Linked DNA regions of Macaca mulatta. The protein of the gene in region 6 interacts with the protein of the main gene of each other region in a pairwise test. Links are inferred from orthologs where the notes say so. Each region holds a gene or a part of one and is shown on either strand. Other genes may lie near its edges. The genes, in order: CCNH, TXLNA, DTNB, PTPRF, PTPRD, PPFIA1 and PTPRS.

The links.
Region 1: the proteins of PPFIA1 (region 6) and CCNH interact in binary tests that used the Homo sapiens proteins (3 or more experiments, as listed by UniProt). The link is inferred for Macaca mulatta from reciprocal best matches to the Homo sapiens genes PPFIA1 and CCNH.
Region 2: the proteins of PPFIA1 (region 6) and TXLNA interact in binary tests that used the Homo sapiens proteins (3 or more experiments, as listed by UniProt). The link is inferred for Macaca mulatta from reciprocal best matches to the Homo sapiens genes PPFIA1 and TXLNA.
Region 3: the proteins of PPFIA1 (region 6) and DTNB interact in binary tests that used the Homo sapiens proteins (3 or more experiments, as listed by UniProt). The link is inferred for Macaca mulatta from reciprocal best matches to the Homo sapiens genes PPFIA1 and DTNB.
Region 4: the proteins of PPFIA1 (region 6) and PTPRF interact in a two-hybrid assay, tested with the Homo sapiens proteins (2 studies listed by BioGRID). The link is inferred for Macaca mulatta from reciprocal best matches to the Homo sapiens genes PPFIA1 and PTPRF.
Region 5: the proteins of PPFIA1 (region 6) and PTPRD interact in a two-hybrid assay, tested with the Homo sapiens proteins (2 studies listed by BioGRID). The link is inferred for Macaca mulatta from reciprocal best matches to the Homo sapiens genes PPFIA1 and PTPRD.
Region 7: the proteins of PPFIA1 (region 6) and PTPRS interact in a two-hybrid assay, tested with the Homo sapiens proteins (2 studies listed by BioGRID). The link is inferred for Macaca mulatta from reciprocal best matches to the Homo sapiens genes PPFIA1 and PTPRS.

The regions. Positions count from the first base shown.
Region 1 is NC_133411.1:93,783,012-93,786,511, forward strand, and holds part of CCNH (cyclin-H), read right to left. Parts: intron 3,017-3,500; coding exon 2,943-3,016; intron 1,878-2,942; coding exon 1,667-1,877; intron 1-1,666. UniProt on the Homo sapiens protein: Regulates CDK7, the catalytic subunit of the CDK-activating kinase (CAK) enzymatic complex. CAK activates the cyclin-associated kinases CDK1, CDK2, CDK4 and CDK6 by threonine phosphorylation.
Region 2 is NC_133406.1:208,699,024-208,702,523, forward strand, and holds part of TXLNA (alpha-taxilin), read right to left. Parts: intron 1,579-3,500; coding exon 1,403-1,578; intron 1-1,402. UniProt on the Homo sapiens protein: May be involved in intracellular vesicle traffic and potentially in calcium-dependent exocytosis in neuroendocrine cells.
Region 3 is NC_133418.1:99,619,193-99,622,692, reverse strand, and holds part of DTNB (dystrobrevin beta), read right to left. Parts: intron 2,113-3,500; coding exon 1,953-2,112; intron 1,132-1,952; coding exon 1,042-1,131; intron 905-1,041; coding exon of another isoform or gene 852-904; exon of another isoform or gene 719-851; coding exon of another isoform or gene 561-718; exon of another isoform or gene 122-560; intron 1-121.
Region 4 is NC_133406.1:197,047,432-197,050,653, forward strand, and holds part of PTPRF (receptor-type tyrosine-protein phosphatase F), read right to left. Parts: intron 3,181-3,222; coding exon 3,005-3,180; intron 2,283-3,004; coding exon 2,163-2,282; intron 1,857-2,162; coding exon 1,702-1,856; intron 1,621-1,701; coding exon 1,335-1,620; intron 1,228-1,334; coding exon 1,049-1,227; intron 827-1,048; coding exon 700-826; intron 466-699; coding exon 340-465; intron 95-339; coding exon 1-94. UniProt on the Homo sapiens protein: Possible cell adhesion receptor. It possesses an intrinsic protein tyrosine phosphatase activity (PTPase) and dephosphorylates EPHA2 regulating its activity.
Region 5 is NC_133420.1:90,798,380-90,801,879, forward strand, and holds part of PTPRD (receptor-type tyrosine-protein phosphatase delta), read left to right. Parts: intron 1-2,745; coding exon 2,746-3,015; intron 3,016-3,500.
Region 6 is NC_133419.1:4,338,351-4,341,850, forward strand, and holds part of PPFIA1 (liprin-alpha-1), read right to left. Parts: coding exon 3,356-3,500; intron 356-3,355; coding exon 209-355; intron 1-208. UniProt on the Homo sapiens protein: May regulate the disassembly of focal adhesions. May localize receptor-like tyrosine phosphatases type 2A at specific sites on the plasma membrane, possibly regulating their interaction with the extracellular environment and their association with substrates.
Region 7 is NC_133424.1:6,072,868-6,076,367, forward strand, and holds part of PTPRS (receptor-type tyrosine-protein phosphatase S), read right to left. Parts: coding exon 3,461-3,500; intron 2,967-3,460; coding exon 2,809-2,966; intron 2,288-2,808; coding exon 2,276-2,287; intron 2,022-2,275; coding exon 1,909-2,021; intron 267-1,908; coding exon 219-266; intron 1-218. UniProt on the Homo sapiens protein: Cell surface receptor that binds to glycosaminoglycans, including chondroitin sulfate proteoglycans and heparan sulfate proteoglycan.

The DNA.
Region 1 (3,500 bases), on a different chromosome or scaffold from region 6:
TTGTATTTCATCTTTCTCTCACTACTAGCTCTTTGCATCAGTATTTAAATGTGCATCGGTCTCTTCCATAAAACAAAAAACAAAAAAAAGTATCACCCAGTCAGAAACTTGGGGGTTCTTCCTCTGTCCTCATCTCTATATACAATCAATCCTCATGTTCTATTGATTCTACCTAACTACAGGCTGAGCATAAATCCAAAAAATTCAAAATCCGAAATACTCCGAAATCTGAAACTTTCTGAGCACTGACATGACACTCAGGAAATTCTCACTGGAGCATTTCAGATTTTGGATTTGGGATGCTCAACCAGTAATCACAATGCAAATATTGCAAAATCGGGAAAAAAAAAAAAAAAAAAAGTGAAATCTCAAATACTTTTGGCCCAAAATTTTTTAGATAAGGGATACTTATCCTATATCTCTGAAGCCCAGGAAGCTCTTTCTGTATCCACAACCTTCATACGAGTGAAGACCACCACCATCCTTAGCTTGGACTCCTTTAACAGTACCCCGTTATTCACTTAATCTATTCTAATCCATTCTCCACGTTATGCCTGACATATACAGATGCACAGTAAATACCTGATCCATAAGGTTGCCAACATGATCTTTTAAAATTGCAAATCTAATCATGCCACTCTCTAAATTTAAACCTTTCACTGGTTTCTCTTTGCTCTATTCAAAATCCGTAACATTGTCTCTACAGTCTAGACTCTGCCTTCCACTCTGGCAGCAGCTGTCTGTGATCTCTTCCCCCTGCATTGCTAGGCTCTGTTCAGGTTGTTTAGCACAGAATGGTTTCTTGAATTTGACCTTTTTACCAGGGAAGTCTCTGATTGGAATGTTCTTCTCTCTCCTATTCCTACTCTGAATTGTACTTTAAATGATACGTTCTCAGAATGTTTTCCTTAGCTCTTAATCTGTTATCCATTGTGCTCAATAATACAGAGGGGAAAATATATTTTAGAGGGAGATATATATTCTAAAACCTTTAGATTGCAAGGTTCACAAAAGTTGAGACTGTTCCTGTCCTGTTTCTGGTTACATCCTCAAGCACAAAGTTTGGCACACAGAAGATACCCAAATTGAGCCACTGATCTAATATGAATGAACCAGTTCCTGATTTCTGTTTGATTCAACTTTGACTATCCAACTTCTCTTTTAGAGCCAAACAAAACAACTTAAAAGTTACTTCTGTCAATGTTTGTTTACTTATATTATTGATGCCTACATAGAGACTCAAGTTCACAAACCTCTAAAAATATAAGTCACTTAGCAATCTTCTAGTTTAAGAATTTTTTATGGTTTAAATCAGGCCCAGATCCATGACAATATAATTCAAAGTTAGAAGAGGTATCTTAAGCCTCCATAATAAGCACCGTTCTAAACTCTCAATGGTCTTCATTACATCCCTGGACGTAATGAAGATCACTTAAATGAGAAACTCCATAAGTCCCACCCAACCATCTGAGTTAACAATTTCTCCAGATGACTGATGATGCCCACTGAAGTTTAAACACAACTGCCCTAGATGACCAGGCCAGACCCACAGGTCGTATCCATGCTCTAACAATGAGGATGACTATGAGTTTTAAAATTTTGGATTCTTTTTGTTAAAGAATAGGAAAGGAGAATGTAGTATTAGTTTATTTTATATCAAATTTACCTTTAAGTCGATGAGGAAGCCCTCAAATGGTCTGTAAGGATTGTGGACAATAAGGTGGAAATTAAGTTGCTGTATAAGAAGTAGTTCATATTCCAGTATCTGTTCAAGTGCCTTCTCCTGTCCAAGAGGACTCTCCCGAAGGTTTCCAACAAACTGAGGACTAGATACATTGAATTCATCTACTTTGCAGGCCAAAAATGCACAAGTGAGCCTAGAGGAAAAAATGAAGCGGCAGGGGGCGGGGTTGGGGTGGGGCAGAAGAACATGCATATACTTTGAGAAGTATCTAAATATTTTATTTCTAAAAGTATATTCTATAATTGCCTAATATTCAAAAGTGACTGCTAGACATTGCAAGAATTTTTTTTTTTAAAGATAGTTCCTGTTCACACTTCATTAAGAGACATAAGACAAACTATAAATAGGTCAAACCAATATTGCCATGGCATTCAAACATCACTGACTCAATGACAGTGTTATGTAGTACAACCTAAATATCTGGAAAAACAAATTAACTGAGGAATAAGAGCACTTTGTATAACGTAGATGGAATAGTTAAAAATAAAGCACATATGTACCATATAAGTATGGGAAGAAAAGTAGGTTAAAGGAACATTGTGGAAGGCCATCGGTGGAAGTCTCTAAGGGCATCTGAATAAGAGACTATTATTTAAGGGACAAATGTGTGAAATTCACCTGGCCAATTCATGCTGTTCAGTATGAGAAAACAGTAAGAAAGCTACTGCAAAAATCAAGGTTGGCAGTGAGATCAAGGGCCTAATCTTGACTGGTGGAAATGGGAATCAAAAAGAGAAAACAGGTACAATGTCATTGAGAGCAAGCTCTTTGATGAGTCTCATACTAATTTCATCTTTAATGATAGACGCAGTGCTCAGCAGAGAGCAGCAACAACAGACCTTTGTTCAACTGAAATGAGTAGGAAGCTATAGGATCCGTAAACTGACTAGATGTGGGAGGGGCCACTACAAATGATTCTCAGTCTGAACAACTGGAAGAACAAAGGTGTCAAATAGAGATGTTAGAGAAGTAGCTAATTTGAGAAAAACAAAATTTGAATCTGGACAAGTTGAAGTTCAGATGCCATCAGAATTACCGAAGTACAGGTAAATAGAGATCTTAAGTTCTGAATTAAAAAAAAAAAAAAAAAAAACAGAATTCAAGTCTAAATTACCCTCAACTCTCTCCTCCCCAAAAAACTCAAAAGAGTATAAAGGTCTTCTTAAATGAAAACAATATATTAGACAGACATACTCACATTATTATCCTGGGGTGATATTCCATTACTGAGTTATTAAGATAAAAACGTTTGAAATACATACAAGCTGTACCCTAAGGGTTAAAAAAAAAATATATCATCAGGATCTATTCACAAATGTTAAATGTTAAATTGTGTGAAACAGAACTTATTTATGGAAAGGTTTCTTTGTAGAGATTACCCAGAAAAATACTAATACTCATTAATTCTTCTTTAATCAAAATAAATTGTGATGAATTACTACAGAAATGCCATAGCCAAAAGATCCTTTCCCATCCTTTGCTTGTCTATCCCTAGCCTACCCTGGCTAATCCTTCCTATGGTCACTGGATTTAAAAATACGTGAGTGTGTATGTTTTAGAAGTCAGAGTATCAAAAATGTCCTGAATTAGATAAATTCAGGAAGAAAAATACAAATGTTCACAGATTAACCAATCTTATAAAAATAATGAGCAAGGCAATAAGCCTTCTCTCTAAAGCCACTACATATTTGTGACATTGTTTTGTATCCATTCCCATGATTTGTGATCACTGCTGCCAACTGAATGGCAGAAGCAG
Region 2 (3,500 bases), on a different chromosome or scaffold from region 6:
TACAAGAATGTCATTAGGCAGGTATGACATTCCCCATTTTACAGATGAGTAAAGTTCCCTACAGGAAAATATTAATAAATGTGTGTGGAATGAATTAATTTTAACATAAATACTTAAGAGGCTGGGCGCAGTAGCTCACGCCTGTATCCCAGCACTTTGGGAGGCCGAGACGGGCAGATCACGAGGTCAAGAGATTGAGACCATCCTGGCCAACATGGTCAACCCTGTCTCTACTGAAATATACAAAATTTAGCCAGGCGTGGTGGCGTGCGCCTGTAATTCCAGCTACTCGGGAGGCTGCAGCAGGAGAACCGCTTGAACCTGGGAGGTGGAGGTTGCAGTGAGTCAAGACCATGCCACTGCACTCTAGCCTGGTGACAGAGCAAGACTCCATCTCTAAATAAATAAATAAATAGGCTGGGTGCGGTGGCTCACGCCTGTAATCCCAGCACTTTGGGAGGCCGAGGCAGGCAGATCACGAGGTCAGGAGATTGAGACCATCCTGGCTAACACGGTGAAAGCCTGTCTCTACTAAAAAAAAAAAAAAAAAAAAAAATAGCTGGGCATGGTGGCGGGTGCTTGCAGTCCCAGTTACTTCGGAGGCTGAGGCAGGAGAATGGCGTGAACCCGGGAGGTGGAGCTTGTAGTGAGCCGAGATCGTGCCACTGCACTCCAGCCTGGGCAACAGAGTGAGACTCCATCTCAAAATAAATACATACATACATACATACATACTTAGGCTGTGACCATCAATAGATAAATCTGTTAGTTCAAATTCTGACAGGGGACCTGATGATGGAAGAATCTGGCTGCCCCACCCTCAACCCACTGAACAATGTTACAACAGAGTGGGAAGAGTATGCTTTGCATTTATTGCGATGGAACATGAAGTACAGAGTACTACTTATGAAGAATTCTTGTCAAAAACTTGAAGCTGAATTGGATCAAGCTTTAGAGCTAACTTCTACTTCACTTACAGGCACTAGGAGGTAAAGAAGTAAAATGCTACCACAGATGACAAAGCTAGAAGGGGGCATCCTACAGGACAGCCAGTCTGGTTTCTGTAAAAAGTCAATGTCATGGGGAATATGAGGAGGCAGTGACAAGAAGACTGCTCTGAAGTAAAAGGAAAAAGTATCAAGTGACTAGCATTAGTTTTATTTACTGTGATAATGGCTCTATGCATCTGTATTTGAGGAAGATGCATCAAGATCACAAGGTGTCTTGGACTCAGGCCAGGAACAAGGGCTCTACCACCTTGGAATCATTCTTTGAGAAATTTCTTTCAAGGAATATGCAGTTTCTCAAACTCTTGCTGCACAGCCCTGAAGAGGCTCGCTGAGAGTGATTCCCCATTTAACAGATATTTCAGAGAAAGCTGAACAGAAATTAAGCCACCTACCTGCCTCTGCACCCCCAACCCTATACCAGGTGGCATGCTGATTTTCCCAAGGCAGGGAAGGTGCCCGCGGAGGGGGGAACTGACCAGTTCAGCATACTTCTTGCACAGAGCGGCCAGCTTCTCCTCTGGGGTACTCAGAGTATTCAATGTCTGCATCAGCAACGTGATCTCCTTCCCTGCAAAGCACAGGAGCAAAGACATGTACTCCCTTCTCCAGGGGTCCCCTCCAGGCCTGGGCTCACACTCATCATGAGTGCTGAAGATAGCCCTCCCCATCACACTTTATATTTTGCTCGTTAATTAGCTCCTTCCTTAATATAGGGACCAACTCAATCCTGCCCTCACTGTAGCCCCAGTATCGTCCATAGTACCATCACAGAGAATATGTTCAACAAATGCTTATCAAATGAACGACTGTACCCTACTGAAATCTCCTTAGTGGACACCACTGGCAGGGTAAAAAAACTGCCTGCTCTACCAACAGACGAAAGATTTCCCACTTATGAATTCAGGGCTACTGTTTCATACAGTTTCAATGCAAGGAAGGCTCACCCTCCTGATAGAGGTAGGATCCAAAAAGGAACAGATGTCTTAGCCTCCTTGAGAAATACTAAACTCTTGTCAACAGAGTAGCCAAACAGTGAACTTTAAAATGAAGATACTTTCGGCCAGGTGCGGTGGCTCACGCCTGTAATCCCAGCATTTTGGGAGGCCGAGGTGGATCATGAGGTCAAGAGATCGAGACCATGCTAACATGATGAAACCCCGTCTCTACTAAAAATACACACAAAAAAATTAGCAAGGCGTGGTAGGGGGTGCCTGTAGTCCCAGTTACTCAGGAAACTGAGGTAGGAGAATCACTTGAACCTGGCAGGCAGAGGTTGCAGGGAGGCGGAGATCGTGCCACCGCACTCCAGCTTGGTGACAGAGCGAGACCCCCCTCTAAAAAAATAAATGAACTAAAAAAAAAAAAAAATGAAGATACTTTCCATATATGTGACCCTAAGATTTTTTCTTTTTTTTTTTTTGAGACGGAGTCTCACCCTGTCACCCAGGCTGGAGTGCAATGGCATGATCTCAGCTCACTGCAACCTCTGCCTCCTGAGTTCAAGTGATTCTCCTGCCTCAGCCTCCTGAGTAGCTGGGATTACAGGCACATGCCACCATGCCCAGCTAGTTTTTTTTATCTTTAGTAGAAATGGGGTTTCACCATGTTGGCCAGGCTGGTCTCGAACTCCTGACCTCATGATCTGCCCGCCTTGGCCTCCCAAAGTGCTGGGGTTACAGGTGTGAGCCACTGTGCCTAGCCGTCCCTAAGATTTTTTTTTTTTTTTGAGAGAGCCTCGCTCTGTCACCCAGGCTGGTATGCAGTGGTGCGATCTTGTGTCACTACAAACTCCACCTCCCGGGTTCACGCCATTCTCCTGCCTCAGCCTCCCGAGTAGCTGGGACTACAGGTGCCCGCCACCACGCTCGGCTACTTTTTTGTATTTTTAGTAGAGACGAGGTTTCACCGTGTAAGCCAGGATGGTCTCGAACTCCTGACCTCATGATCCACCCGCCTCAGCCTCCCAAAGTGCTGGGATTACAGGCATGAGCCACCATGCCCGGCCATAAGATTTTTTAAAGTTCTTCTTTAAAGTAGGATGATACAAAAGGGGAGAGGGAAATAGGAATAAAACATGGACATAATGACACCCGAGTTAGACTCTAGATTCTTTTTTTTTTTTTTGAGACGGAGTTTCACTCTTGTTGCCCAGGCTGGAGTGTAGTGGCACGATCTTGGCTCACTGTAACCTCTGCCTCCGGAGTTCAAGCCATTCTCCTGCCTCAGCCTCCCAAGTAGCTGGGATTACAGGCGTGTGCCACCATGCCCAGCTAATTTTTGTATTTTTAGTAGAGACAGGGTTTCATCATGTTGGCCAGGCTGTTCTCGATCTCCTGACCCTCAGGTGATCCATCCGCCTCGGCCTCCCCAAGTGCTGCAATTACAGGCGTGAGCCACGGCGCCCGGCCTAGACTCTCAAACATACATACCCTGCTGTAAAATAACTGTCACTGCCCGTTCCCCATTGCCTGTGCCTGAGTCAGGGAGCCT
Region 3 (3,500 bases), on a different chromosome or scaffold from region 6:
AGCAGAGCTGGGGGCTCTGTCCAGTCCCATGACAACCCGAAACATGTGAGCTTTCTCCTACGAAGGGCTGAAAAATACCCAAGGCTTGCCTTCCCTAAGAGTGTTTGAATAAATCTATGTGTTTGAATGGCCCGTGGAAAAACTGCTTTATCTTTTTATTTAATAGCCCTGTTAAGCTACTTCAAGGTATTTAAAAGCACTACATTAGGTGGAAAGAAACAAAAGAGAACCATCAGTGTGAGTGACCTACAGCACTTAGGAAGGGAAACCATTAGTTTAACAGAAAACACGGAAACCCCACTGCTGTGAAATCGTTAGTGACTCTCTGGCCCCTAAGTAACTGGCAGAGTCATGGGGATTCCTGGAGATAGGATGATATGTGAATGGCCTTTAATTTTCTCTCTCTTTCCTGGGTTTTATGTAAGGTAAAGGTCTTTGGGAAGTCACTGATGTGGCGAGGTGATGGAGAGACTGAGAAAGAAGTCACAGATGAGCTGAGCACGAGGAGTGGAAGAGGCGACAGACTCAGGTCATGAACTTCAGGTGAAATCAGAGCCTGGTCATGGACAAAAGGAGGGAATAGGCTTCAAAACCAAATCAAACAGGAGAGAGCAGAAAGGCAGCAGGGGAAGGTCCAGAGCTTTCCTGGCTGATTCGGCTCCAGACTTCCAGGGAAGCTTCAGAATGAGGCGGTCGGTCAGGCCTAGGGAGAGAGCGGCTGTGGACAAAGCACAGATAGAAGACGGGGTAAGTAGGAAGGGGGCCTGCCTGCACTGAAAGGTCTGAATTTCTCCAAGTTCAGCTTGCTCCACAAGATGCACTCCTGAGATAGCCTGAATGTGAAACCGCCCCTATGCAATCCTGTGTGACAGAGGCTCTCTGGGCGGAGACATCCAATGTGTTCCTAGAAGGCAAAGTTGGGTGGTGAAATGGGGTGGTGCGAGCTGGGTGGTGAGGTTCTGCCAGAGCTGGCGAGGAAGTGAGAAGGGCGTGGGCGAGGCAGGGGAGGCCGGGAAGCCAGGTGGGAGCTCTGGGTTTCACCTGAATGGAGCTCCTTCACCAGGGATGACATGGTGTTGGTGATGGAGTCAGCTGCCACCAGCAGGTCATTGCGGAGGTTTCTCCTCGTACCTGAGGAGAGGCAGAGCAGATGGGGATGCCAGTGGGGGTGAGCATGGAGAAGAGACGGCTGAGCAAACGCCTCTATTCTGCCAGGCCGGAGGACACAGGTGTGGAATACCTAAGGGGAGATGGGGCTGCAGCAGCTCCACCCACTCCCAGCCACACTGGGGGCAGGAGGCACCAGCCCACTGGTCCCTCTCCCTCTGCCCTCTCTACCTAGGGAGCAGCATCCTGTCAATTCCACGCTTTGCCATCACCACACAATCCAGAGCTGGGTTCCAGAATAAGCATTCCACCGAGGTCTTCCTCAGCCTTGTGGGGGCGGGGCTCTACTCTCCACAACCACCACCACCACCTCCCCTTCTCACCTCCAGCCCCAGCAGGACTTCCCTCTGAATCCCCACCCAACTACTTAATACTGCTGGTCACCAGCTCCTCCGATGACTGTGGCAATGGCGTGCACACTATGCTGTCAGCACGGTCCCAGTTACAGTGCCTGTTACAGTCCCTTCTAGGCCAGGGAATTATTCCATCCAATTCCTCTGGAGGAGACGAAGCTCAAAGGACAAAGCACTTCCCATAATCCAGAAAAAAGGGCAGAGAACCCCAGGAGGCCCATTCTTGGCACACATCGGAAGCCTGCAGCTCTCCTGCTGGAGACCAGCCAGTCTCATGAGAAGGGGCCAGCACCTGACTTATTTACACTGTCTGTCAAAATCTGATCATTCAAGCCAAGAGCACAAAAGAGAAATGGAAAAACCTCAGCAGGAATCTTGTCCATGTTTGCAGATCCCTTCAGCTCCCTGCTGAACTCTGCTCCAGAAACTCACCTTGTGCAAAGGCCTCCTGCACGTCTCCCCCAACTCCGCTCAGTGAGTCCTGCGGACAGTGGGTGGGGGTGGAGCCGGCAGACGTGGAGCGCACTGGCATGGGCATCGGCCGGCCGCCTCCATGGGTGGGCGATGTATGTGGTGACCCTGTGGCCTGAGCCTGGAGATTCAAAGAGAGAAAATATGTTATCTCAAGTACCTGACCTCTTTGAGGAAGAAAGAAAGTACTTTTTCTCCGTCAACCGGGCCTCAGTTCAGTGGTACAAGATCATACTTGAAAGGAAGGAGTCAGGCTGCTTCCAAGACTGGAGAGAGGAAGAAAAGGAAAAAAGGAAGGGGTCGTGCAGGGCAGGAAGAAAGAACATCATAAGAAGAGACCAAGAATGGGAGGGAAAGAAGAGGCTGGCACAGAGTGGTGGAGGACTCTCAGGAAGACAGGGTGAGCATATAGCTGGGCCAGGGCTCTAGAAGGGCTTGGCTAGCGGGGCAGGAAGTAACATGCAAACAGCTTTCATTTTGTTTGCAAACACATTCATGCACACGTTCTCATTTGGACCACCCCACCCACCCCCGGCAACCTGTGAGTGGAAAGGACATACGTGTGTGTGTGTGTGTGTGTATGTATATATTTATATATGTATATGCTTCTTTTTTGGAGACAGAGTCTTGCTTTGTTGCCCAGGTGGAGTGCAGTGGTGCAATCTCAGCTCACTGTAACCTCCGCCTCCCAGGTTCAAGAGATTCTCCTGCTTCAGCCTCCCGAGTAGCTGGGACTACAAGCGTGCACCACCATGCTGGGCTAATTTTTTGTATTTTTAGTAGACACTGAGTTTCAACATGTTGCCCAGGTTGGTCTTTAACTCCTGAGTTCAGGCAATCTGCTTGCCTTGGCCTCCCAAAGTGCTAGGATTACAGGTGTGAGCCACCACACCTAGCCAGGGTGTATATTTTTATATCCATTTTATAGAAGGAAAAGCAAGCATTGTGTCAGGCAACACAGCTTGCCAGTGGGAGGCACGGGAAGAACCCCTTGACTCCAAGAGTGGCAGTGTGCACTCTGCAGGGTGCGCCCCCACTCCCCCAGGGCATGCTCTGAGCATGTGGGGAGCTTGGCTGCAGGCTGCAAGCGGGGCCATCGGGCCAGTCACGCCACACGCACTGCACACACACAGCGAGGCTGTCTGGGGCCATCCCGCAGGGACGAGGTGAAAAGGACACGTAGTAAACAGAAACTGAGCTTTCCTTGGGAGGCCCTGGTACAGTTGTGGAGAAAGTTTGGAGCAATGGGATAAAATAAATAAAAGGAGAAAACGAATCAAGGGCTGCTCACTGAGATGTGGGCTCTGGAGCTCTTCAGCACAACATGAACTGAGTGTGACAGGTGGACTAGGGTTTTCTGTGGAAGCAAAACTGGAAAAAATATAAGCCAAAGTGTGAGAGTGAGTTCAAATGAAGATAGTTATCCTTCTGGGGAGCTAGCTCAGAAACCCCACATACAAACAGAATTGGCCCTGAACAGGTGGACAGGCTGGACACACCATACCCTAC
Region 4 (3,222 bases), on a different chromosome or scaffold from region 6:
CGATGAAGTCAATGAAGCCCTCGCCTGTCTTGGGCACGCCCTGCTCTGGCCAGTCTGTGAACTGGAACTGCCGGATTGTCCTTGACTGCCCATCCTGGGAAAGGTGGGTGGGGGACATGATTAGGATTTGTGCCTTAGGCTGCCACCCCTCTGGACCAGACCGGGGTAGTACCATGACACAGGCATGCTTCTGTGTCACTGCACCCAAGGCCACTGGGGGAGATGTGCTCACACCCTAATACCCACCCCCTGCCTCAGATTCCTGAAGCTTGAGCTACGGCAGCCACCCGCCCCACATGTGGATAGGCAGCGTTACGGACGTTCAGCGCACTCACTCACCCGGGCATCCGTGACCTTGAACTCACGCAGGATATACTGGGGCATGTTGTACTCAGCCATCGGGTCAACAACAAAGTACTGGTAGCGAGCAGAGCGCTCTGCTGGCCAGTACTGGTGGCATTTTTCCTGTGGACAGAGGGCCGGGCCCCCATGATCAGGTGAGAAGGAATGGAGGAGGGGTGCCAGGCTTCACAGGATTCTGGGACAGATGCCTCAGGTGGATAATAACGGGGGCCTGAGGCTATGCTGACGCAGCAGCTGGGGTGTGAAAGGAGACAGTAACATAGGCGGCAGCTCCCCCAAGGGTGGCTGGTGTTCTCCCAGGTATGACAGGGGCCCTGGGGAAAAGGGTGGGCTCACCCTTCCCATCTCCCGAAGCTTGGTCAGCATGACGATGATGGTGGAATTGTGCTCCCATAGCATGCGCCAGAAGTCCTCGGTGCTCTCTGCCAGAGGCCCCTGTGTAGCTATGTAGGCCTTCTGCTGTCTGGGGTGGACATAAGACTGGACATGCTGGAGGTGCTGCTGCCCCCAGAGTCTCCCCTTAGGCTGCCTAGCCCCTTGGGGCCCTGCTCTGATCATCCCTCCTCCAGGAAGTCCTCACTGCTCTACCCAGCCCTCTCTGGTCTTCTAGGCTGCCCACCCCCACCAGCCAGTCACAGGCCTAGGCCCCTGTAGGGCATGGTGGGGCAGTGACAAGCACGCTGACCTATAACCATCCAGGAAGCTGGCATTGATGTAGTCAGAGCCCTCCACGCCACGGATGGGCTGCAGACACACACGCGTCAATTCATAGGGCATGATGTTCACCAGCCGGTTCTTGAACTTGTTGCAGGGCAGGTTGGCGCTGATGAAGCGGGACGTGTGGGCCTTGGAGCTGGCCAGCAACTATTAAGAGAGAGGGGTTGGTCAGGCCAGGCTTCCTGTGGGAGTGCGGGTCATCCGCATGTCCCAGTCTAGGCCCTGGAGCCAAGCAGGCCCCCACCGAGCCCCACCTTGAACTCAAGCTCCATGGCGGTCACACTCTCCCCTGGAGGCACTTGGCCCAGCTTCTGGATGTGGGCATAGAGGTTTCGGGCAGGCACCTCTGTGTGGCCGCACGTGGCAGCCTCCAGCAGTGCCTCGTGGATGAACACATACTGGTCCTCCGTCTGCACCATGTAGTTCCTCTGTGATCGCATGCAGGTCACGTGGCCATAGATGTCCACCGTCTTCTCGTGCTTCATCCGCTCCAGCATGGCATCAATCACGATGAAGCAGCCGGTGCGGCCCACACCCGCACTGCAGGACACAGGCTCAGTTTGAGGCACAGGTGCCCCCACCTCCCACCCCACCCCTCTGGGTGGCACTGTACCCTCTCACCTGCAGTGCACCACCATGGGCCCTGCGTCTAGGGGGTTGCAGGCCTTGACCCGTCGCAGGAAGGCCAGGATGGGAGTTGGGTACTCAGGAACTCCATGGTCTGGCCAGGCCATGAACTGGAACTGACGCAGCTCACGCTTCTCACTGGAGCCACTCTGGGGGACAAAGTGGGGACATATTGGCAACTAGGAGCCTGCCTGCCAGACTCAGGGCAGAATGACCTGTTGCTGAGGCCAGACCCGCCACTCTCTGATGGGACTCAGAAGTCACAGAGAGTAGCCTGAAGGAGCTCCTAGCACTGTTCCTGTAACATGGATCATCACACCACACTCACACACCTGAGCCTCTAACCCTCCAACACCCAGGTTCCGGTTTTCCCCCAACCCGGCACACCACATCTACGCCAGGCTACTGTCCTTATGGTGTCTGGGTAAGAGAGAAGCACTGGGGAAGGGCTATACCTTGTGGAGTGCGAAGGTGCGCACAGTATATGTGGCCAGCTCCACTGTGTCCAACAGGGTCACCTGAATAAGGCCATAGGTTTCGGTGCCACGGGCGGGCCAGTACTGATCACATTTTACCTGCAGGGGGATGAGCAGGGCAGGCTGAAGGAAGCCCACAGGCTCAGATGGGCAGAAGCAGGGTGGAGGCTGGTCTGCTCCCTGGCTGTAGCCTTTCTGGCTACAAAGGCCCCCCAGCCCTGAGCTCTCAGACCCATTGCCCCCTGTCCTCCACAAGTCACATCAGGTCCTCAAGCTATGTCACCACACTGCCCTAGCTAGTGGAATAAGGGCCATAATTGAAAATTATTTATTCAAGGCCAGATCGCACCAGGCACATTTTCTGCCAAATTTATCCATAACATTTATGTGCCATTTTCAAGCTCTGTAAATTTTACGTTCCAGTCAATGCTTTGCAGTCCAAAAACAGATAACAGCGGCTCTTTCCATTAATTAACTTAGGAGATGTGTTAATGCCCCAGGAACACTCCAGCATCTGGGGAACATGTGAACACCCCGGGAGCATGCCAGCAACTGGGGAACACATTAATATTCTCAGAAAATGACAGCATTTGGTGAAACATATTAGCATCCTAAGGAACCCACGAGCATCTGGGGAACACGCTTTATCCCAGAAACACCCCAGTATCTGCGGAGCATAATACCCCCAGAAACATAATAGCATCTGGGGATCCCTTGAGCGACTTCCTCCACAGAAGAACGCGGCACTGAAGAAGGTGCCCTGTATCACCTTGTGGCCGGGCATTTCCCGCCCGCCTCCTGGCAGGGCCCTGCAGCCTCACCCGGGACTTCTCCTCCAGCCGTGTCATCATGACCACAGTGGCTGTGCGCTGTTCCCACACCATTCTCCAGAAATCGCCCATGGTCTCGGGCAGGGGGCCCTGTGTGGCAATGTAGGCATTCTGCTTGCGGTAGCCATCGATGTAGTTGGCATTGATGTAGTCACTCCCGGGGACACCTGCGGATAAGAAAGAAGGTGGGAAGGCATTACTGCAGGGTC
Region 5 (3,500 bases), on a different chromosome or scaffold from region 6:
GAAATGTTTAGTGTTTTGATTGCCATGGAAAACTGTATTTTAAATAGTAACGTGAGTTGTCCTTGAGACAAGAATGAATTATAAGGATACATTCATATGTTCTCATGAAGTAATAAAAATGATTAAATTTTGAGCTTATGAATGGCTATGCCTTTCCACTCAACTAGAATGAAGTACTTCCGCTTCCCGAGAGTTCTTAAAGCCAGTTCCTGTAGTTATTTTTGTCTAGTGGAAGTGTTCTTATTCTTGGTCTACATATCTGTGAATAACCACGAAGGCATGGGTGGGGGTGGGATTAAATTAAAGACTGAGAGGGCTTTAAGTTACAATAGGATGGGTTCCCTTAAGAAAATACCTAGCTTGATTTTGAAATTTTTGTTAGAGGTAATTTTGTTTCCCTGGGGATGTTTTTCTCTCCTTTCTTTTTATGGAGTCTGGGGTGGGGAAATATGAAGAAAGCCGTTTCTTCTCTAAATTCTTTGAAAGTCCCTTGATCCTTTTTCCACAATAGTGACCTCCCTTGCTGCATGAGGCATGTGTACCTTCTTCCATGGAAAATTTCAAAATGATGCTAGCTATTGTTTCTAATACCATGGTAGTCTGTGAGATATTGCTAACTTTTCCAGCTGAGGTAGAAAGGATGAACTAGAGCGAATAAAGATGTTCAAGTAGCAGTTGAAAGCCTTGATATGGCCTTTTTACTCTCTCTGTGTTTCCCTTGTTTTTCTCCTTTCCTCATTTCATTGTGTTCTGCATCAAACCCCCTACATCCCTCAGAGCTGCGAGAAGGTTGGTGTGTTTTTTACTTTTTACCCACCTTACAAAACTATTAATTAAACCAATAACAAAGAATACAAATGAAATGAATGTAGCTGCATTGTGTTCTTCTTTTGGTTAATGGTATGTTTTAGCAGAGAATGCCCTGGCCATGGCTTCTGGTGCTTGCTGGTGATATCTAACTGTGGTGCATGATGGGAGAGAATGTACCTGGGTGCATGGTAACTGGTAACACTTAACTCTCTAAAGTCCAGTTAACTTGGTCAGTGTTCCTGCTTTCCTTCCTGCTCCACTCTCCCCGTGTCCCACCCCGCCTTTAATTTCTGTCTTATAAGGATGCCTGCTGCCCATAGAATGACTTTTTCTAGTTTCTCCCCTAATCCCAAGCATGAAGACTAAACTCTCCTCCATTTTTCTTGATATGTTCTTTGATACCTCAGAGTCTACACTGGCTCCTGCTTGCTTTGTGTAACTTCTGTGAATTGACTGCAGGAGGCATGCTTAGCTTTCTCTTCTTCTCCCATGACTGTCATTCACCCATGAGGCCATTGCAGTGAGCCATCTCAAATCAGCGGAGGTTTATCTTGACTTAAGTGCAGCCAAAAAGTTTTCAGACAGAATTACTTATCTTCTTCTTGGGGTTATGAGGTTATTTATCAGTTTATTTATAATTTTTAAAATCACTTTATTAAATGTATTTAAGGTGTGCTCCTAAAGATTACCCTCTAGAGCTCAAATTCTTATGGTATGACGTTTTGCCAGTAAAAGCCCCAGATGAAACCAATTTCTCTCTCACCTTCTCCTTGTATCACATCCAAAACACATTTACTTAAACACACACAAACCTGCAAATTATCTGAAGCAGGAACACTGAACTTTAATTGCTTGGTAATTTTTCTGTGTTATGTTGCTTTAATATGATCTCTTCTCTTAATGTCATGTCCTGCTGTATGTTTTCCCAATGTCTCTCAATTTGAATGTGGGCATAAAAAGCCTTTTAAAAGATTTTGTTGTCATTTATGTTGTTTTACCTTAGATATGAATTGAATGGAATCCTGTATGTGAAACACCCATCTCTTTTTCTGAATTTGAAATCTTTACCTTTAACAACTTGAGCCTAATCTATCTTTCAACCCTATCATCCCCTACATCTCTGTATTTCAATCATTATACTTTACCTCCCCCTTTCGTGTTTATTTCTATTGCCCCGTTACTACTTCTGCTGTCATTGCTGTCTTGGATTCCAGCCATTCTTTCAATATCCTTAGCACGGGCCTTGAGATTCCATCTTGTGCATGCCTTGCATGACCCAATCCAGTATCTCTACTGGTGTTAGCCTGTTTCTTCTTCTGTGACTGCAAATCAATATGTATATACATTTCTGTGTTTGTTCCAGTGTTAGTGTGAGGTCTTGAGGCTGCATCCACTATGAATCTGAAAACATAAAGTGCACTTTCAGTGTACTGTAGGTGATGTTTTCCAGGGCTGGGATGTGACAGTGTGGTCCCACACCTACATTCACATCAACTGGAAGTGCACAGCACTGAAGTTGGTTTTGATAGTCAACTTAAACATGCTGGTGACCTTCCAGCTCCCTTTTCTGCATATACATGCCTGCATAGAATCATTGTTATATGCCTGCATGTATATGTTTTTGTGTTTATCTTATGCATGATGTTTGTGTATTGTTAGTTTGTAGATAGTTTTTTGTGGGGCCCTTGTAGGTCTGAATCAACTTTTGTATGAGTGTGTCTAAGATATCAATGACTAAACTAAATAATTCTGTGTATACACACACCATACTTGTATGGTCTGTATTATCCACAGTTTTTCTTTATGTTTTGTTTTTGGACAATCCACAATATGTTTCAATTGTTGAATCGTGTCTGTACGGTGCATGTCATGTGTTTAATAATCCACTTTTTCTTGCCTTGTATATGTTATCATTTCCCTTGTGTTTTGTTCCAGTTCGCCGTGTCCCACCAAGATTCTCTATCCCACCCACTAATCATGAAATCATGCCAGGTGGAAGCGTTAATATCACCTGTGTGGCCGTGGGGTCACCAATGCCTTATGTAAAGTGGATGTTGGGGGCAGAAGATCTGACACCTGAAGATGATATGCCAATAGGAAGAAATGTGCTAGAACTGAATGATGTAAGACAGTCAGCAAATTACACCTGTGTTGCTATGTCGACACTGGGTGTCATTGAAGCAATAGCACAGATCACTGTCAAAGGTATGCTCAATGGATCATGCTTTGAGGATCTGGGTACGCTTAAGCCAAGTGATTAATGCCTCTAGGAAGCCCATCCTTGAAAATCGAAAATAATTCATTATTCAGAGTTTTAAATGTGTGTATAACCTAATCATATCTGTGGTATTATATAAGATGCATAAGCTTAGATAGGCGGATTTTTTCTTGGAAGTATCTGGCAGCCTATGTGGAGATAATCATCAAAATATTAAAAGACAGTTCATGGAGGCCCAGGCACTAACCAGACAGAACTAGGAATTTTAGACATGGTCAACCATTATGGTGGGACTGATGTGTACAGTCTACATACTAGAACAGAACCTTGATAAGAACCCCAAGAAAAGTCAATATGAGCATTAATAAATGCTTAAAATTTCTAAATACAAAGGAAAAAGAAGAAAAAAGTTGAAATCAACATAGTCTAATAATAGATGATTTAACTTTTTGGCAGGCCCTACTGTTAGAAA
Region 6 (3,500 bases):
AAAAATTGAGGACAAAATGGTTAAATCAAATCCTACGTTATCAAAACCTGTAAACTGAAGGAACTCCCACATATCTTGAACATAATATTCTAAGGTCATAAAAACTTGACATTTGGACTTGATTTCCAACATGAAAGTGAGAGAAAAAGGGTCTTTAATTTCATTAATAATTAACTGAAGCCAGACAAAGATCGATAAAATCCATTACCTGTCGATGCATAGAATCTTTATTTGCAATTTCATTTTCAAGTTTATCATTGAGGTCATGCACAGATGTGGCTTCACGCTGTGCAGCGAGGTAGCGTTTTTCAAGAGTAGTGATTCTCTCTTCCATGTCTTCCTTTTGGGCCATGGCCTAAATTAGTATTTCAGAGGGGACAAAAAAGCACGTAATTAACAGATTACACATTAAGATACTTAAGAGAGAAAAAAACTGAACTAAATCCCAAATTTCCAATCAAATTAAAAATTAGCATCTTCAGGCCAGATACAGCAGCTCACTCCTATAATCACAGTACATTGGGACGCTAAGATGGGAGGATGGCTTGAGGCCAGGAGTTCAAGACCTTGTCTCTACAAAAATATTGTATTTTATTTTTTGAGACACAGTCTCCCTCTATCACCTAGGCTGGAATGCTGTGGTGCAATCAGGGCTCACCACAGCCTTGACTTCCCAGGCTCAAGGGATCCTTCCACCTCAATCTTCCCAGTAGCTGGGACTACAAGCGCATACCACTATATCCACTAATTTTTAATTTTTTGTAGAGATAGAGGTCTTACTATGTCGCTCAGGCTGGTCTTGAATTTCTGGGCTCAAGAGATCCTCCTTGGCCTTCCTTTGGCCTCCCAAAGTGTTAGGATTACAGACGTGAGCCAGCATCCCTGGCCAAAAAAATTTTAAAGAAACAAAAATTAGCCACGCATGGTGGCATGCCCCTGTAGTCCCAGGTACTTGGGAGGCTGAGGCAGGAGGATTGCTCGAGTCCGGCAGTTCAAGGCTGCAGTGAGCTATGATGGCACCACTGCACTCCAGCCTGGGTAACAGAGAGAGATTCTGTCTCAAAAAAAAAAAAAAATAGTGTCCTCAAAATTAAATTGAAGACGACGTCAATTTTCTCAAATGTGAATGAAAATGTAACTACCTCAAATATCATATTCACCTATACGATTAACAAAGACTTGTCTCTCTTAATACTATGTCTAGCCACTCAGTTGACCAAGTTTTCCCATTTCTACATAATATTATAAACATATATACACTCAAATATCTAAATATTTTTCAAGGAGGTGAAAGTGACCTCAAAGACGACGCAGTCTATGTCTGCCTCACGCTACAAATGGTCTTACACAGGACAGGGTGTGGCCTCTCTCAATGGATACAGTAGTGAGATACAAGTCTCACTTTCTAGGATAAGGGTTAGATGAAATCTCATACAATTACAAGATTCAGGCATATTGACAAATGGAAACAGAAGTACAAGTTCAATTTAATTGGACGCAACTACCTGAAGTCTGCAAGATGATTACTAAACAGTATCAAACACTTAAGGCTAGGACCAGAACTTTTTGCTTGTGAAATACCTGTCCTCCACCCCCAGAATTCACTATTTTCAAGTTGTTCCCTATTTATAAAATGACCAAGGTTAGCGAAGTGATAACTATTAAAAGTGACTACTAAAAGTCATAGGGGAAAAAAGCTCAACATCACTGATTAGAGAAATGCAAATCAAAACCACAATGACACAGGATCTCACACCAGTCAGAAAGGCTATTATGGAAAAGTCAGTAACAGATGCTGGTGAGGTTGTGGACAGAAAGGAATGTTTTCCTACTGTTGGTGGGAGTGTAAATTAGTTCAACCATTGTGGAAGGCAGTGTGGAGATTCCTCAAAGACCTAAAGATGGAAATACCAACCCAGAAATCTCATTACTGGGTATATACCCAAAGGAATATAAATCGTTCTATTATATAGACACATGTATGTGTATGTTCACTGTAGCACTATTCACAATAGCAAAGACATGGAATCAACCTAAATGCCCATCAGTAGTGGACTGGATCAGGAAAATGTGGTACATATACAACATGGAATACTATGAAGCCATAAAACAGAATGAGATCATGTCCTTTGCAGAGACATGGATGGAGCTGGCGGCCACTATCTTTAGCAAACACAGGAACAGAAAAACAACATACCTCATGTTCTCACTTATAAGTGGGAGCTAAATGATGAGAACACAGGGACGCACAGAGGGGAACAACACACACTGGAGGGTAGGAGGAAGAAGAGGATCAGGAAAAATAACGAATGGGTACTAGGCTTGGTACCTGGATGATGAAATAATCTGTACAACAAACCCCCAGGACACAAGTTTACCTACGTAACAGACCTAAGCATGTACCCCAAACTTAAAAGTTAAAATAAAAAATAAAAAATAAAAGTGATAGGTCTTAAAAGAATTTCAAAATTCTCAGCATGTTAATCTCTGCCACATAATCTCCCGCTATAGCCAAAGAATAGAACCTAGCAGGTGACACAGCACACACACATGCTCTTCCTGTGGCGAATTCCTACATGAAATTACTCATGCCAAACTATCACACTGAAAAGCAGACGTTCCACGGTTGAGGCGCCTGACAAGGGACAAAGCGCAGGTTAGGAAGTGACAGGAAGGGCACCTGAGAAAGAACTCAGCCTCACTGTTCCATGATCAAATAGTTTCTCATAGTGATAATGGCAGAAATACTTGTCAGCAATGAGTATACTGCGACATATTTTTACTATACGATCCTGATGACCCACGTAGAAGCAAATTCCACTCTTGATTATTTGTCTGACCATCAATATTCAATGCCACGAGTTCCTTGAAGGAGGAGGTCAGAAAACGAGAAGACCACCAGCAACGCCCCTTCCCACAGTTAACAGACTATAGTCACATCGCCCTACGTGAACTAGCACAGCCAGGATCAACGTCTGCTTGCTGAACATAAGAACAAATTAAGACAGCCTAGAAATTGCACAGATGAAGAATCTACAAACAAGGACATTAAAGAATATCAAAGCAGCACAGGTAGGAGGGGCTGGTGTGGCGTCCACTCCATGGCCACATCAGTCAGTGGTACTAGTTCTCCTCTATTTTGAAGCGCTCAGGGACAGGAGATTTCACAACAAAAATGGGGAGGTATCTTATCGCAGTTTCACAGCACTCTTTCTTTTTCAATATAACTTATATAATAATACAAAGGTTGAAAGTAATTGGGAGAGCAAGGGACAAAAGGAGAAAAAAAATCATTAAATAAAACCTCCCAAACATTCAACTTCATGACAAGCCTGTAATTTTTGTTATTGCTCACTTCACGGACATCTCGTTGCAATTTTGTGTTCATTTCTTCAGATTTGATGAGATCTTTTCTAGCAGTGTCCAGATCCTCTTCCAGCTCTGACACGTGACTGGAGAGGGAAGCCAGGCGTTCTTTCATTTGGCTCTGTTCCCTTGAC
Region 7 (3,500 bases), on a different chromosome or scaffold from region 6:
GACACACACATACACACCACACACACAGCAGTAACACACAGCCACCTAAGGGCCCAGTGGACCAACCCCCTGCCCTCTTCCAGGAGCCAGCACAGGACAGGTGGGCAAGGGCCGGCGGTGGGTGGGCGCGTGGACAGAGACAGGAGGCAGGATGGAGAAACCAAAGAGGAAACGAACAGGGGGGCGAAAGGAAGCCAAAAACAGACGCAGAAACTAACTTTCAAAGTGAAACCCCGGCTCCCTGAGGGGGCTCCTGAGGCCTGAATCTGCAAACAGCAAACAATAAATAAATGAAAACATGCAGGGGGTTGGGGGGTTCCACCTCTGCCTCCCCCACCCCTCACTGGCTGGCGGATGCAAAGGGCAGAGCAATGCGGACAACGTGGGGGACGCATAGCCACCTGGGCCCCCACCTGTGGACTCACGATAGCTGCTAACTGTGTACCCCTCTGGCTGGACGCCAGTCAGTCCTGGTCTTGACCCGTCACTCTGGAAGGACTCCAAAGTGCTAGGTTCTTCTGTCTACAAATCCCCTCCCCCAGACCAGCCTGGCCTTGGGTCCCCTCTGTTGAGGTCAGCAGAGGGCATTCTGAGGAAGGAGGATGCAGGATGGTGAAGGAGAAGCTGGGGGAGCAGGGAAAGGACATATGGGCCCATGCCATGAGCTTCAAGGAGGACAGCAGCCATCAGTTAAATGCACATGTTGAAAATCCTTATTTGGATGGAAACAGAACAGACATAAGCTAGTCCAGAGACAGAAATGAAACGGGAACACATTGGCAGTGAATTATGAAACTCTTCATGATCCCTTTAGGAGACTTGCAGCCATCAGTTACATGCACATTTAAAATCCTCATTTGGCTGAAAAACCAAAGCAACATGAATCAGTACAGAGGTAAGAAAGGGAAGAGAATACACGAGGGGTGATACATGAGGCCCTGCATGATCCCTTTATGAGGACGGCAGTCATCAGTTAAATACGAATGGTCAAACTCCTCATTTGGATGAAAACAGAAGTGACACAAGCCAGTCCAGAGGCAAAAAGAAGAAAGTATATCAAGAATGGCATGTGAGGCTGTGCATGAGGCTTTAAGGAGGACTAAAGACATCAGTTAAATACAAATGTTTAAAATCTCCGTTTGGTTGGAAAATAGAGTTGATATGAACCAGTTCAGAGATAGGAAGTGGAGACCGGTACAGTTGGAAGGACAGATGTAACCAGGCTGTGAACCCGTAAGGAGAATAGCAGCCATCAGTAAAATGAAAAATTTCTTACTTGGTTAGAAGCAGCTGGCATGAGCCCATGAAGAAGGGGTTGATGGTGGAGTTTGTAAATCATACACGGAAATGATCAAGGATAAAACCTTGATTCAGTTCTCCTTGACTGGCAGGTGACTTTATAGGGAACTGTAAAGAGGCATGAGCCCCAGCAGCCATGGTGGGAAGAGGTACAAGGCGTGGGGCAGGTATAATTTCTGTACCTTGCTAGGGATATATCCCAAGGGAGTGTGGAAAATGGCTGAAGGCAAACCTTAACTCTCACCACTGAGGAACATTAAAACTAGAGAGATAAACAGAAGAACAGCTCTTTCTGCCCAAAGAAATGAGGGGTAGTTTTGTGTTTTCTCCGTTTTTTATTTTTAAACATCATCTTTAGGCTCCTGAAGAGGAGAGCAGCCATCAGTTAAATGTTAACTTAAAAAGTCTCACTTGGTTGTAAGCAGAACCAACCTATGAGTTCCAAGCCCGGATCCACGTAGGGTGGGAGGTATTTGGGAATCAAGAATGTGGCTGCACCAAGCGTAGTTCAGAGGGGGCCAATGAGGGTCCCCCAAGGTGGCAGCTACTGCTTCTCACCAGCTATCTCCCCTGTTGGCGGTATCCCTGGTACCAGGGATAAGTACATACCTGGAGTCTGGAAGTTAATGCGTCTCATTTCTACAGGGTCCTTGGGGTGGTGAGGGGCGAGGTCAGCATTGTTCAGGAGGCATTTGGTGCGAGGTTCTGAGTCCTTGCGTTTACTTTAGGAGAAGCAAGCAGAACAGTCCAGTTAGTACTGGGACATGTTCATGTGTGAATACAATTCAGGCCCCAGGAATGTATGGTCGGAAAAGGACTGTATACCCATATGACTGGGGTTTCCAGGACCAAGTACAGATACATGTACAAGCTGTGGGGGCAGCCAGACATCCCCTCTCCCGTGGGCACAGTATCAACCCATTCCCTGTCCTCTTCCTCTTGCCTGAAGCCTCCAGGGGGCAGGGCTGGTTCTTACCTGTCAGGTTTGCTGTTCCCGAAAGCAGACACAGGTGAGAAGGGGGGAAAAAAAGAAAGGTGAGGGTGTGTTGGCCACAAAGGACTTGTTCTGTGACTCTCAGTGGCTTCCTTAACCTCCCTGAGCTTTGGTCTCCTCTGGAAAATGGCGTTCCTCTTTCTTGTTTGTCCCCCTGCCTATTGATACCACAAGGAGGCTTATCTCAGCCCTCCCTTTCTAAGCTGGGACATGCCCCATGGGGCCACTACAACTGCTATCCTCATTGAACTTGGACGCAGGCAGCCTCTACCCCAAATCATCTTGCGGAGGTGAAGATAGGGGTTAACAGGAGAAGCCAAGCCACTGGCCTGCTTTGAGCCCTAGCTCTGCCATTCCCATGCTGTGTGACCTTGATCAAGTGGCTTAACCTCTCTGAATTTCGATTTCCCCATGTGTACAACAGAGACCCTTAGTGATGATTCTCTGAGACAAGTCCTCCCTCCTTTTCCAGGAAGCCCTCTCTGCTGTCAAGTCAGGGAGGACATGCGGCTTACTTCTTGTAGAGCAGGATAGCAATGACAATGCAGATTATGAAGACCACGGCCAGCACAGGCCCAATCACCCAGATAAGCCCCTCCTCGCCATCCACGATGGGCTGGGGGTCCGGGTTATCCAGCTGGAAGGGGTCTGAGAAGGGACTGGCTGCAAAGGTCTGCAGGGAAAGGGGGGGGGGTCTCCATCAGTGTCCACCGTCCTTGCAGTGGCCAGATGGGTCTTTCTCAAACACAAACCCATGTTTCTCCCCTGCTTTAGATCCTCCTATATTCCTAGAACCTTGACCCTCGTGGCCCATATGACCTGGTCCCTGCCAGTCTTTGCTCTCCCCGTTCCCTTCTCTGCTCCAGCCACTCTGAAATCCTTTCTGTACCTCCTAGATCTTTGCACATGCAAATCCTGGGATGCTTTCTCTTTTTGAACTCCTACTCACCCCGCAACGCCCCAGACCTTGGAAGGTCTCTTCCTCTTAAGAAACCTTCGTTTCAGGATCCCTCCACTCCCAAGTCTTCCCCACTGCCCAGCCCTGGCCACAGAGAGCTGCCTGTGACTGACCACAGAGGATCTGCCTCTGGTTTTGAGGTCAAGGCCCTGGGAAATGGGGTCTGCCTCATTCAGAGGTGTGTCTGGCAGACACCATTCAGGACTTACAGGCTCGCTCTTCTGAAGCACAGCAAGCACAAAGAGGACA